3 linked regions of the Macaca mulatta genome follow. The protein of the gene in region 1 interacts with the protein of each later gene in a biochemical or structural test. Links are inferred from orthologs where the notes say so. Each region holds a gene or a part of one and is shown in the gene's direction. Other genes may lie near its edges.

Evidence for each region.
Region 2: the proteins of PPP1CC (region 1) and PPP1R9B form a complex in vitro, tested with the Homo sapiens proteins (2 studies listed by BioGRID). The link is inferred for Macaca mulatta from reciprocal best matches to the Homo sapiens genes PPP1CC and PPP1R9B.
Region 3: the proteins of PPP1CC (region 1) and TLX1 form a complex in vitro, tested with the Homo sapiens proteins (2 studies listed by BioGRID). The link is inferred for Macaca mulatta from reciprocal best matches to the Homo sapiens genes PPP1CC and TLX1.

Annotation. Positions count from the first base shown.
Region 1 is NC_133416.1:117,908,037-117,912,455, reverse strand, and holds part of PPP1CC (serine/threonine-protein phosphatase PP1-gamma catalytic subunit), read left to right. Parts: intron 1-689; coding exon 690-920; intron 921-4,419. UniProt on the Homo sapiens protein: Protein phosphatase that associates with over 200 regulatory proteins to form highly specific holoenzymes which dephosphorylate hundreds of biological targets.
Region 2 is NC_133421.1:59,860,569-59,865,087, forward strand, and holds the start of PPP1R9B (neurabin-2), read left to right. Parts: upstream 1-1,201; 5' UTR 1,202-1,761; coding exon 1,762-3,135; intron 3,136-4,519. UniProt on the Homo sapiens protein: Seems to act as a scaffold protein in multiple signaling pathways. Modulates excitatory synaptic transmission and dendritic spine morphology. Binds to actin filaments (F-actin) and shows cross-linking activity. Binds along the sides of the F-actin.
Region 3 is NC_133414.1:113,194,171-113,198,689, forward strand, and holds the start of TLX1 (T-cell leukemia homeobox protein 1), read left to right. Parts: upstream 1-1,346; 5' UTR 1,347-1,744; coding exon 1,745-2,330; intron 2,331-4,394; coding exon 4,395-4,519. UniProt on the Homo sapiens protein: Controls the genesis of the spleen. Binds to the DNA sequence 5'-GGCGGTAAGTGG-3'.

The DNA of each region.
Region 1 (4,419 bases):
ATTATAGGCTTGAGCCACCGCGCCCGGCCATTTTTTTGTATTTTTTTAGTAGAGATGGGGTTTCACCGTGTAGATGGTCTCAATCTCCTGACCTCGTGATCCGCCCGTCTCGGCCTCCCAAAGTGCTGGGATTACGGGCTTGAGCCACCGCGCCCGGCCTGTGTTCATGTTTTTAAAAGTAAAATGTTCTTTGGCATTATCTAGCAGGGAGCAATTGAAAGCTAAATGCATTGATGGGTGGGGGGTGGGGGTCGTGTGTATGTGTGTATGTGCTTTGCTCAGACTGGGCCAAGGCTCGCTAAAAGTGCAGCAGTTCTGCTGACACAGTACCTAGAGACTGAGCTATCAGGGATCTGATATTGATCAGTCATCCTGAAAGGAATACCATGTTACTTGGCAAGAAGGCATGCCTGGACATAATAACCCTTTCCACAGAATAAATTCTTAATTAGTTGAATTTTGTGTGAGGTTCTGGACATACACATATACTTAAAAATTTTATTAAGTTCAATTGAACTAAATATGATGCCAGTTTGGAAATTACTTAGTGTTGGCTGTCCAATTAAACTCTCATTACTAGAGGTCAATGCCATTGTACAATGAATTTTTAAAGAATTTCTTTCTAAAGCTTTGTTAGTGGATTGAGCTGTAAGTATGGGAACACTGTGTAACAAAATTCTTGCTTCTAGGTGACATCCATGGGCAATACTATGATTTGCTGCGACTTTTTGAGTACGGTGGTTTCCCGCCAGAAAGCAACTACCTGTTTCTTGGGGACTATGTGGACAGGGGAAAGCAGTCATTGGAGACGATCTGCCTCTTACTGGCCTACAAAATCAAATATCCTGAGAATTTTTTTCTTCTCAGAGGGAACCATGAATGTGCCAGCATCAACAGAATTTATGGATTTTATGATGAATGTAAGTACTTTTCTATATCTCAGGAAGTTATTGAAATTAAGATATTTATCATAAACAATTATCACGTACTTCTGTTAGGAATTGTGAGAGTTTAGATGCAGTGGTATCATCTCTCATGTTTTCTATTTCATCAACTTGTTTTTAACTTAGCTTTTTAGGGGAGGTGGGGGAACAGAGTCTCACTCTGTTAACAGCCCAGGCTGGAGTGCAGTAGCACCATCTTAACCTCATTGCAACCTCTGCCTCCCAGGCTCAAGCGATCCTCCTGCCTCAGCCTCCCAGGTAGCTAGGACTGCAGACATGCATCACCACGCTCAGCTAATTCATGTATTTTTTTGAAGAGATGGGGTTTCACCTTGTTGCCCAAGCTGATCTGAAACTCGTGGACTCAAGGAATCTGCCCACCTAGGCCACTCAAAAGTCCTGGGATTACTCGTGTGAGCCATGGCGCCCAGCCAGTTTTTTCTCTCTTGGGTAGAAAAAGAACACTGCCGCTATAATAAAATAAGGTCTTGGATTCTTTTATGATGTGATGATCAGATTAGGAAATAATGATCATGGTAGTGGTTTCTTTAAGATGTAAATTGTTGTATTCACAGATAACTTAATTCTTGGTAGAAATCTGAGAACCATTCTAAATAGTTTTAAGCAACTTTATTATGTAATTTCATTCCATAAAATTAATCTGTTGAAAGTATACAATTCAGTGATTTGTAGTAAATTTATAGTTAACGCGACCATCTCACCGTAGCCCCCAGGCAACCACTAATCTACTTTTTGTCTGCTAGAGAACATTGCATGCAAATAGAATCTTGGCAATGTGTAAATAATTAGTTTTTGAAATTATTATGGTTTTTCTCCTCTGGCATAACCGCACCCAGGAAGAATGGCAATAACTTTCCTAAAACTAAAATGTGCTGAACAAAGATTATTTTTACAGTATTTTACGCATTTTATGACTCATTTTGGATTGTTTATTTAAAGGTGCACTTTGATTTGACTATTGACAAAACACAGTCAAATAGGCTGGGCGCAGTGGCTCACGCCTGTAATCCCAACACTTTGGGAGGCCACGGCAGGTGGATCATGAGGTCAAGAGATCGAGACCATCCTGGCCAACATGACGAAACCCTGTCTCTACTAAAAATACAAAAATTAGCCAGGCGTGGTGTCAGATGCCTGTAGTCCCAGCTACTTGGGAGACTGAGGCAGGAGAATCGCTTGAACCCGGGAGTCGGGTTCAGTGAGTCGAGATCACACCACTGTACTCCAGCCTGGGTGGCAGAGTGAGACTCCGTATCAAAAAAAAAAACTTTGAAAATAATCAGTTTGATAAAGGGTTTTACGTCAGAAAAGGTTTTGAATCTTTACCTTCACCTTCCTTTTGTGCTTATTTCTGCCAGGAGGGGTTTCAGGTTTGGAGTGAAGGGGTGGTTAAGGAACTTCAGGTAGTTGGCATTTGCTAATATGATTATAGGGAGATCAGCAAAGTGTTGTCCCTGTGGCCCTCCCCTAGACCACATCCTAACTTAGAGTCTCCAGATGTGTGTTTTTCCATCTCAATTCACATAGATGCAGTGAGCTAGCACATTTGTTAGAAGTGCATCCTAGAAAGATTATATTCACAGACTGAGCCCTTCTACTACCACCCTTTCCCACTACTGGATGTTTGCTTGGTCTGTGTCCTTGAGATCCAGCTGGTAAGATGAGGTGGCAGGAATGATCAGGGACAAAAATTCTGTGGGTTCTGGACTGACTGATACCATTGAACCTGTACAGGAAAGATATTCGATATTAACAGGGATTCTGTGTCATAGAAGTACCAGTAAGCCAGTTACTACTCCTTAGGTAGTGAAATACAAGGCAGATGTGGTGGGTTTTTTTTGTTGTTGTTTTTTGTTTTTGAGACAGAGCCTTAAGCTGGAGTGCAGAGGTAGGATCATAGCTTACTACAACCTGTAATTTCTGGGCTCAAGCAATCCTTTCACCTCAGCCTCCCTAAGTGCTGGCATTACAGGCATGGGCCACCACACCCAGGCAACATTGTGTTTTGGATACTTATTCCAAGTGTTACTCTTGAGTTAAGAAAGGGTTCCTTTTACATAACTGTTAGCCCAGTAAATACTTTTCATGTTTGCACTGATGAATTCAAATCCATTTGACCTCATTGTTGTGACTTCTATCCTAACGTAATGATACTAGCTGCATCAGTTTCAGTTTCTACTCAATGCAGAGGCCTTTAAAATGACTTAGAAGATCAGTGTCGGTTGGTATCAGTTTCGACTCCTGTTTGATCATCAACACAGTTTATAGATCAAGCATCCTCTCTCCCATCAGGCAGATACAATTTGCCATCCAGTCTACTTGTGGGCATAAAAGTGCCCTTGACATAGGTGGCTTCTGGTTGAAGGCTTGCAGACATTTAGTATATATATTATATATATTAATTTTATTAAAATGAAAAGTTGTATTCAAATGTTGATTTTCATGGGACAATTTTAAAACCACTGCCTGTTTTCCAGGTACATAAGTACTTTATACTACCATTTCTTTTTTGTTTGTTTGTTTAAATTTTGCAAATGTGATGAAAAGGCTGAGGTATATGTTGTTGGGTAAAACAGGAGTGTTTGTTGATCCATTTCTGCTATCGGAGCTGTCTGATGTACAGTAATGGGAAACTGCATTACAGGTTATGGCTCAGAATCTTAGGATTTGGAAGCTAGACGATTTCCCTGGTTAAACCTTTTAGGACCCAGATGTTCCTAGTGGTTTGAGGTGGCCTTAGGGAGGATATGAAGAGAGAAGAGAAAGAGACAGCCCCACGCTTCAAGTGCTGAGAGGCAAAAGGAGGAAGCAAACTGATTTTTCATGGAGAGGCCAGCAGAAATCGGCAAGAGAAGAAACTGGAGTTTGTGGCATAACTAAAGAATCAAAGGCCGGGCATGGTAGCTCATGCCTGTAATCCCAGTACTTTGGGAGGCCAAGGTGGGTGGATCACTTGAGGTCAGGAGTTCAAGACCAGTCTGACCAACATGGTGAAAACCCATCTCTACTAAAAATACAAAAATTAGGTGTGGTGGTGCACACCTGTAGTCCCAGCTACTCAGGAGATTGAGGCAGAAGAATCCCTGGAACTCGGGAGGCTGTGGTTGCAGTGAGCCGAGATCACATTGCTTTACTCCACCTGGGTGACGGAGTGAGACCCCACCTCAAAAAAAAAAAAATATCCAGAAGTGAAGCTGACCTTGGGGAAAGAGGAAGTCACTATCACTGGGGGGCTAAGGCAGCAGCCCTGTTCTTATAATACAGGTTAAGTATTCCTTACCTGGAATGCTTGGGACTAGAAGTGTTGCAGGTTTCAGAGTTTTGTGTTTTGTTTTGTTTTGTTTTGTTTTAATTTTGGAATATTTGTGTTATAATTACTGGTTAAACATCCCTAATCCAAAAATCTGAAATCCGGAATGCTCCAGTGAGCATTTCCTTTGAGCATCATGTGAGT
Region 2 (4,519 bases), on another chromosome or scaffold:
AGGGGGGAGAGAGTGGGAGATTAGGAAAAGGAGGAAGAGGATGGAGGGGAAGAGGGCGGGGGAGGAGGCAGAGGCCGCAGAAAGGCCTGAGATGCAGGAAGCAGCTGGGAGTGGGGGGAGGCTTTGTGCCTGAGTTGTTCTCTGGGTCCTAGGGCCCATTGTGTTCACCAGTTTCTGGGATGTGTGGACTGAACCCGCTCACCTGGACCTGTCCAGAGGGTGGACCCTCACACCCAGGGCCCAGGAAGCACCAGCACCTTAGGTGTGTATGCGGGGGGTGCAGAGAGCATCAAACAGCTTTCTGGGTTGCCAGGACAGGGGATGTGTAGGTCACTGTCACCCTCCCCACCCCCCACCCCCACCGGAACACAGTCGCCAGGATCCTTTAAATCAGAGACCCAAGTTAGAGCTCTCACTGGGAAAACTTTGGCCCCAGGCCTCTAGAATTCCTGCTCCCAAACCCTTCCTTCCGGTTTGAGACGCAGGAGTGCCAGGGTAGGGGCCTGAAGACGGGTGCACAGCAGACAGGCGACAGGACATCCTCTCCAGACGTCTAAAGGGGCAGTTTTGATGATCCCCTGCTACTTGGATGACGGGGTCCACCTCCTTTCTTCACGACCCCTCCCCCACCATCGAAAGGTCACCAGCACTGGGCCAAGGTTTCACACCTCCAAGGGTGCCAAAGAGTCCCTGTAGTGAAGTGTTAAAATGCAGATTCCTGGGTTCAGCCTCTGAGATTCTCCTACACAAGGTTCGAGGGAGAGCTCAGAAATCTGTATTTTTACCAAGCGCCCAGCGATTCTGATGCTAAAGCCTTGAAGCACACCGAAGAGCTAGCTCCGAGGACCCTGAAGAATGAACCTCTGCCCCTCCCCACAGACCCCCCTCCCCTCACATTGAGACCATCGTGGATGTACTGCCTCCGCCCAATATTTCATGGGGGTGCGGTTCTGTGGGTTGTGATAAGCCGCAGTCAGAGGTTGTGATGGAAGGGTTGAAGACGGCTGGCCAATGTCCGGGGGCAGAGGAAGGCTCTCAGCGAAGGCTGGGGAGGGGAGGGGATCCGTTCGGGTGGAGGGGAAGGGGAGGGCTCACAGGCTCCGGCCCCGGAAATCCGATCCCTTTAGGACCCAGAGGTGCCAGTCCCCCAGCGGCGGCGGCGAGAAGGGCAGCCGCTCGGTCTCCGGCAGCCGCCGCTCGGGCAGAGCCAGAGAAAGACCGAGGCTCGGGGCACGGGGGGGAGGGAGGGAGGGAGGGAGGCGCGGCGGCGGAGCGGCCCGGGCCGGCGGAGCAGCCATGGGCGCTGGGGTGCCGGGCCCCCCGAGAGCCGAGGCCTCCGGCCGGACTGGGGGACGCCCGGGCTGCCAGCCCCACTGACACCGCCTCGGACGATGTGAGCCGGCGACGCCGCGGCTGCTTCGCGGGCAGGGCGCGCGCTCCCACCGGCCCCAGACGCCGCTTTGCTAATTTGGGTGGGGGCGACCGTACCAGGCCGCTTGGGCTTTTGAAGCGGGGCTGGCTGTCTTCGGCAGCTTGACTGGGGGAGGCGACCCACACACAGGGCGCTTGGAGATTTTTTTTTTTTCATTTTTTTAAAAAAGCGGGATTAACTGTTTTTGGCAGCGGTTTTGGGGGGACCCTAAAAAAGGCCTTCTGGGGTTTCTTTTATCGGGGGGAGGGGGCGGTGGTCCCGACTTGGCCAGCCGCCTGTTGAAGGGGGGGAGCGGGGAGCAAGGGGATGCGAACCCGGCTCCCCCCACCATGATGAAGACGGAGCCACGGGGGCCCGGGGGTCCCCTCCGGAGCGCCTCCCCGCACCGCAGCGCCTACGAGGCGGGCATCCAGGCGCTGAAGCCGCCCGACGCGCCCGGGCCCGACGAGGCACCCAAGGGGGCCCACCACAAGAAATATGGCTCCAACGTCCACCGCATCAAAAGTATGTTCCTGCAGATGGGCACGACGGCGGGGCCCTCGGGCGAGGCGGGCGGCGGCGCGGGCCTGGCCGAGGCCCCGCGGGCGTCCGATCGCGGCGTGCGCCTGTCGCTGCCGCGGGCCAGCAGCCTGAACGAGAACGTGGACCACAGCGCCCTGCTGAAGCTGGGCACCAGCGTGTCGGAGCGCGTGAGCCGCTTCGACTCCAAGCCCGCGCCCTCCGCGCAGCCTGCGCCGCCGCCGCACCCGCCGTCCCGGCTGCAGGAGACGCGGAAGCTGTTCGAACGGAGCGCCCCGGCGGCCGCAGGCGGCGACAAGGAGGCCGCGGCGCGGCGGCTGCTGAGGCAGGAGCGCGCCGGCCTGCAGGACCGGAAGCTGGACGTCGTGGTGCGCTTCAACGGCAGCACTGAGGCGCTGGACAAGCTGGACGCTGACGCCGTGTCCCCGACGGTCAGCCAGCTCAGCGCCGTCTTCGAGAAGGCCGACTCGAGGACCGGCCTCCACCGCGGGCCCGGGCTCCCCAGGGCCGCAGGGGCTCCCCAGGTCAACTCGAAGCTGGTCAGCAAGCGGTCCCGGGTGTTCCAGCCCCCGCCGCCGCCGCCGCCGCCCGCCCCGTCGGGGGATGCTCCGGCGGAGAAAGAGCGCTGCCCCGGAGGGCAGCAGCCCCCGCAGCACCGAGTGGCCCCTGCCCGGCCGCCCCCCAAGCCCCGGGAGGTGCGCAAGATTAAGCCGGTGGAGGTGGAGGAGAGCGGGGAGTCGGAGGCCGAGTCGGCGCCCGGGGAGGTGATCCAGGCCGAGGTTACGGTCCACGCGGCCCTGGAGAATGGCAGCACCGCGGCAACCGCAGCCAGCCCCGCGCCCGAGCAGCCAAAGGCCCAAGTGGCCCCGGAGAAGGAGGCGGCGGCGGTAGCGCCGCCAGAGAGGGGGGTGGGCAATGGCCGGGCCCCGGACGTGGCCCCTGAGGAAGTAGATGAATCCAAGAAGGAGGACTTCTCGGAGGCGGACTTGGTGGACGTGAGCGCCTACAGTGGGCTCGGGGAGGACTCTGGGGGCAGTGCCCTAGAGGAGGACGACGAAGAAGACGAGGAGGATGGGGAGCCCCCCTACGAGCCCGAGTCGGGGTGCGTGGAGATCCCGGGGCTGTCGGAGGAGGAGGACCCAGCCCCGAGCCGGAAGATCCATTTCAGCACGGCGCCCATCCAAGTAAGTGAGCCCCCCCTCCCCGCCCCCGCGCCGCCCCTGCCACGTGCACGCGGCCGCCCCCGGCTCGCCAGCCAGCCGGGTTTGGCAGGCTGAGTCAGCCCCTGCCACCCAGCCCCCTTCCCAGAAGTTCCCACCCTCAGGGGGGCGTGGGGGAGTTCCAGCTGTTTGTCAGAGAGGGATTTTCAGGTGTGCGAGGGGGGTGGCCTGCCCCGACCTGCCCTCAGGTTCCTCCGCCTGCTGCCCCGCCCCGCCCCGCCACTTCGCAGAACCCGTCCTGCCCCACGCAGGTTCTGGGACACCTGCTTTGCCTTCCTCGCCCAGACATTCCTTACTCCAGAGGCTGCCAGAGGCTGGGGCTTGGGTAGCGTGAAAGGGGTGTGTGTGTCCTCAGGAGAGATATTTGCCCTTCACTGGGTAGAGGGGGGCTAGGGGTGCTCTCCTCCTGTATGGGAGCTGGATGGGGTGAGAAAGGGGAAAGCCAGGAACTTCTCAAAACGAAGCTGCAGGGGACGGCAGCCCTTCCTCCATTCTGTTTGCACCCCACCCCAAGTTTGCAGAAGTGAAAGAGGGAAGCAGATCGTGAGGGTGAGCTGGTCTGTGGCCATGTGACTGACTGGCGCCGTGTTCCCTGGGGGTCCCTGCAGGCCAGCTGCCCCATCCTGGTTGCACAGGGAGGGGCACTTTGTGTGGTCCTTGATGGGGAGAGGCCTTCTGCAGGCATGGAGGGGAGGAGGTGGGGCTAGGATCCCCCTGGGTGCCTGGCAGTAATGGGCATGCCTTTGCTCTTGGCTGCTCAATAGGACAGACTCCCAGGGCCTTGGCAGGCCCCAAGTGTTCTTCCCACATTCTCTAGGAGCCCTGAAAGAGGGATGGGAGCTGCCCCTTTGGGAGTCTCATCCCCACTGCCACTATTGGTGGTTGGTTTGTGGGTTATGCCAGAGCTTGGAGGCCCTCAGAACAGCGCCGATGGGGAGGGGACATCCCCTGGGGGGAATCAAAAACCCCAGGCCACCCCTCCCCCCACTTCCCACCACCCTCCACTCTTGGCTGGCACATTCAGCCTGCAGGGTTCTTTCTCACCACCCCAGGCTCAGCTGCACCCGGCCCCAGGTCCGCCCCATGGAAGTGTCCAGGTCCCTGGACTCTCCTTGGCCTGGACCCTGCCCGGCCTTTACCCTTCCCTAGCCAAACCACCATCTGTTTGCTTGCCGTTTCCATAACTACTCCTGGACATTGAAGCTGCCCAACTTTCCTCTCACTCGACCGGAATATTAGCCTCTCTCTGCCTCTCTCCCACCTCCCACCCCAGCAGGAGGCCTGAAAGGTTAAAAGTGAGTGGCTGCTCTTCCCCTCCCAGGCCAGTCCCTCCCCTAGGCTGGGTCCT
Region 3 (4,519 bases), on another chromosome or scaffold:
CTGCTATGTCCCCCGTGCCTAGAACAGTGCCTGACACAGTGAGTACAGTACTCAATAAATATTATTGAATAAAGAGATACATTCTCTTGTTATTCCCCAAGATGAGCATATTTTGTTGTTTGGGGCTGTATTCTTCAGGAGAGAACAGAAATGAATAAGCCACTCTCTGTCTCCAAGATCTCTTCAAGTGGAGGTGACAGACATGCCCAAAGCAAATAGATTGCAATAAGACTTGATGAGGAGAGAATGTGAGTCTTCACATCCTAGCATCTTTCCAGATAGAGACGGGGAGTACTCAAAAGTCTAATCTGAAACTGAACTGAAATAGACCAGAAATAGATCCCAAGTGATGGAACCTGTGCCTTTCCCAAAACTTGACTTCTAAAAGGTAGCAAACATTTTCTACTGGAGAGGGGAAAGAGAGGAAGAAGAAAAAGGGAGTTTCCTCCTTTTCTCTTGGGCTGTCAGCCAGACTGCCACTGGCAAAACGTTGGAAAGGCCTAAATTTGTCCTGGATGCACTTTCCTGATCCTAGTCCTACCAATCCCAGCCCCTACGGTCTTAAGCCCCTATGGCTTCCTCCCAAGATTCCAAAAGTAAGAAAATAACACACACCACAGTCCAAAGTCTTCTTGCCTGGAATAGCCAACCCTGGGGTAATTGTTAGGTGGAAAGCAATCTGGTTGAATTCATTCAAACACTGTAGGAATTGCCTCTTTCAAACCCTGTAGGGTTTTACTTCTTGAGGCATCTGTTTATTCAAAAGGAAAGGCGTGTGTTGAGGCATGGGCACCCTGGCAGCAGACCCCAAACCAACCCTCTTGACTTGTGCCTGCCTTTCAAGAAATGTTCCCTTCCTGAATTTCTCTAAGAAGGCTGAGTTGGGGGATGGTTGCTGATTTTTATAACATATAGCCAGTTGTTCATAGGCCTGTGTTTTAAAGAAGGACAAGCCTGAACTCACCGTCCTGCCTCAGGGCCTGGGCTCCATACCTGGGGAGTAGACAGTCTTCTACTTTCTAACAAGCTGGACTTGAAGTTTGGAGTAAATCTCCTGGTTGAGTGACAGGTGTTTCCCAGCTGAGCCCTTGGGGAGATTCTCCAGTTGGGTAGGGACATCCCTTCCCCAGACGCCTTGTGGGCTGGACTCCTTTGACCCGGTTCAAAGTGAGGGGATGCCTACCAACAGGCCGGGAAGACAGTTGACTTCACCCTCCTTGAGTTTGTCTGTCTGTCCGTCTCTGGGAATGGTCGCTTCTTGTTTTCCCTTTTCCTTTTAAGCCTCTCCTTTTTCCCCTCTTCTCTCTCCTCATGAACTACTCCGAGTCTTGGTCTCCGTCTCTCTATCTCTGGCTCCTGCATCTGTCTCGGCTTCTGGCCTTCCTCTCCCCCTCCCCTCCCCTCCCTCGCGCTGTCATTCACCCCGCTCCTCTCCGCGCACAGCCAATGGAGAGACCCGGCCGAAACCGCGAAGCTCTCTTGCACCGGGCTTTTTCGCCTGGTGATTGATGTCCCAGAGTCAACAGCGAGCGGAGCCGGAGCCGGGAAGCAGAAGCCAGAGAGGGGAAGAATACGGCCCCCCTCTCCCTCCCCTCCCCCTTCTACTTTAGCCCTTCTGCGCACTTCGCTTCCAAGTCTCCGCGCAGCCAGGAGCCGCTGTTGCCTCCCAGCCCCTGCTAGCTGCCCCCGGAGCCGAGCGCAGCGAGCGCCGCCGCCCGGGCCCCCCCGTGGGGCCGGGGCTAGCATGGAGCACCTGGGACCGCACCACCTCCACCCGGGCCACGCAGAGCCCATCAGCTTCGGCATCGACCAGATCCTCAACAGCCCAGACCAGGGTGGCTGCATGGGGCCCGCCTCGCGCCTCCAGGACGGAGAATACGGCCTTGGCTGCTTGGTTGGAGGCGCCTACACTTACGGCGGCGGGGGCTCCGCGCCCGGGGCTGGGGCTGGAGGCGCGGGGGCCTATGGCACTGGAGGTCCGGGCGGCCCCGGAGGCCCCGGCGGCCCCGGAGGCCCGGCAGGCGGCGGCGGCGCCTGCAGCATGGGTCCGCTGGCCGGCTCCTACAACGTGAACATGGCCTTGGCGGGCGGCCCCGGTCCTGGCGGCGGCGGTAGCAGCAGCGGCGGTGCGGGGGCACTCAGCGCTGCGGGGGTGATCCGGGTGCCGGCACACAGGCCGCTCACCGGAGCCGTGGCCCACCCCCAGCCGCTGGCCACCGGCTTGCCCACCGTGCCCTCTGTGCCTGCCATGCCAGGCGTCAACAACCTCACTGGCCTCACCTTCCCCTGGATGGAGAGTAACCGCAGATACACAAAGGACAGGTTCACAGGTGAGTCCGGCCTGCGCGCGCGCCTCGCCTGGCCGCGGCCCGGGCTCTGTGTTACCCTTTCCCCGCCGGCTGGCTCCCCAAAGCCGGTTCTGTGCGCCAGGTCGCCCACCTCTTCTTGGTGCTTCCCCCAAGTTGAGCCGCCCGCCCGATTCTACATCGCAGACTCGCCATGCTTGAAGAGTTCTCTCAGCCTGGACCCCTCTCTGTCTCCCAAAGGACCCCTGCTCAGAGAAGCTCTCCCTGGTCTCCTCTCGGGATCCCTGGGCCCGGTCAGGCAGAGAAGAAGGCCATAGATTGAGGACCACCTTCTGCAGCTACTCCGGGTCCGGGAATCTTAGAGAAAGGGGTGCAATGTGAACAGTTTCTTCCGTCCTGGCTGCAGTTCTAGGACCGAAGAAGCCAGCCCCAGGATCAGACGCAAGAAAAGAACAGGTTCCCCCACCTTCAGTACCCTGCACACATGCACTCCGCGCTCCTAGCTCCGGTGCCCGTGGTGCTGCGGGGCCAGCGGGAGCTCTGAGCTCCAGTAAATCAGCAGAACCAGTGGCCCTTTTTTTTTTTCCCAGAGAGGAGGCTTCGTCTGGGAGGATGGCAGCGGGGCATAGCCGCCCAGGACAGCTAGCTTTTCATTTTCGTTCTGTCCTGGCTGCATGTCCTACCCCGGGCCCAGCCCTGTTATCTTGGGCATGAATAATGCACTGGGCAGGCCAGTGATCGGTGGCGGGAGGACTACTCCCAGGACATTAGGTACTAGGTGGGCCGCTGCCGCCTTCCCTGCTGCCCACTCCTGCCTTCCTCTGCTGGCCCTGGCTCCCTCTGCTGCCGTTTCTGCTCTGGACACTCAACTCTCCCTCTGGTGTGGGTCCCTTCCCCTGTTCTCACTTCCTGCTCCCCTTAGGACTCCCTGGATCCCAGACCATGATCCTCCCGTCCCGGCTGGGAAGCAGCCACAAATTGAGCCCAGGTTAGCCAGCTGGCCTTAGAGAGAGGAGGCAGGAGACACTGGCTGCTGCTGGCAGAGACCGGGACTCCTGGGGATCCCCTGGCTCAAGGGACCAACAGTGGAAGGGGGTATACATAACTACTTGGGAGAAGCTGCTGAGAGTCAGACACTGGGCCAGGAGACCCCGAGGCACCCCTGACTCCCTGCTTCTGTTCCAGGCAGGAGCACGGTCAGGGAAACTGCTCCTGCAGCTTCTTACCAGACTCTGGGGCCACAGCAGAAGTGGTGTGGGGGCTGGTGTCCAGACGAAGAACAGTTGCTTGGGTCTAGACCTCAGGAAGGGCCCTCGCTGGAGGGGCCCCAGTGCCCCCAACCCAAGTTTTCTCTGGCCTGGGGCAGCAGGGCCTGGTGCCCATCCCATTCCCCACCCAGGCCAGGCCAGTCTTGAAGGGCCCTGCTGGAACCCCAGCCCAGAGTCTACTAATCCTGGGCCTCTGGTGAAAGGTACTCGGTTTAGGGCCTACCTCGGGGCCCTAATACTGTGTCAGGCATGAAGGAGTTTTGAGCGAGTGTATGGCTGTGGCCTTGTGTTGCTCTGTGTCCTGTGTTTTTGTCCCGTGCCTGTGCTTGTCTGGTCCTGTTTGGGTGTATAGATCTATGAGTTTGCCCCCGTTGTACGTTGTGTTGGTGTGTGCTGCTGTGGACAGAGGCTCAGGTCGGGTTCCAGAGTCAGGTTCGGTCTCCTACTCTGAGCCTGAAGGTCTGGGGCTGACTGAGGGGAGGGGAGCGTGACCATTAGCTCGCCTTAGACTGCCCCTTGGATGAGGGGCGGCAGGGTGGTGGTTGGGCTCGCGGGAGCCCGGGGCTAGGGAGGCCTCTGTGGTAGCTGCGAAGTCGGCGTTCGACTGGCGGGCAGGAGGGGGCCGTTTCCCGCCGTGGGCTTGGTGCTGAGGGCTAACGGGAGGATCTCGGCCCTGCTCGTGGGAGTTCAGCTGCTGCGCTCGCTGATTCGCGGGGTGTTGGGCCTGGGACGCTTCCTGACGCTCTGCTGCTTGCCTCTGCCGTCTGTCTGTCTCCCGCTCCAGTGGCCCTCTCACCCTTCACTGTAACACGCCGTATAGGTCACCCCTATCAGAACCGGACGCCCCCCAAGAAGAAGAAGCCGCGTACGTCCTTCACACGCCTGCAGATCTGCGAGCTGGAGAAGCGCTTCCACCGCCAGAAGTACCTGGCCTCGGCCGAGCGC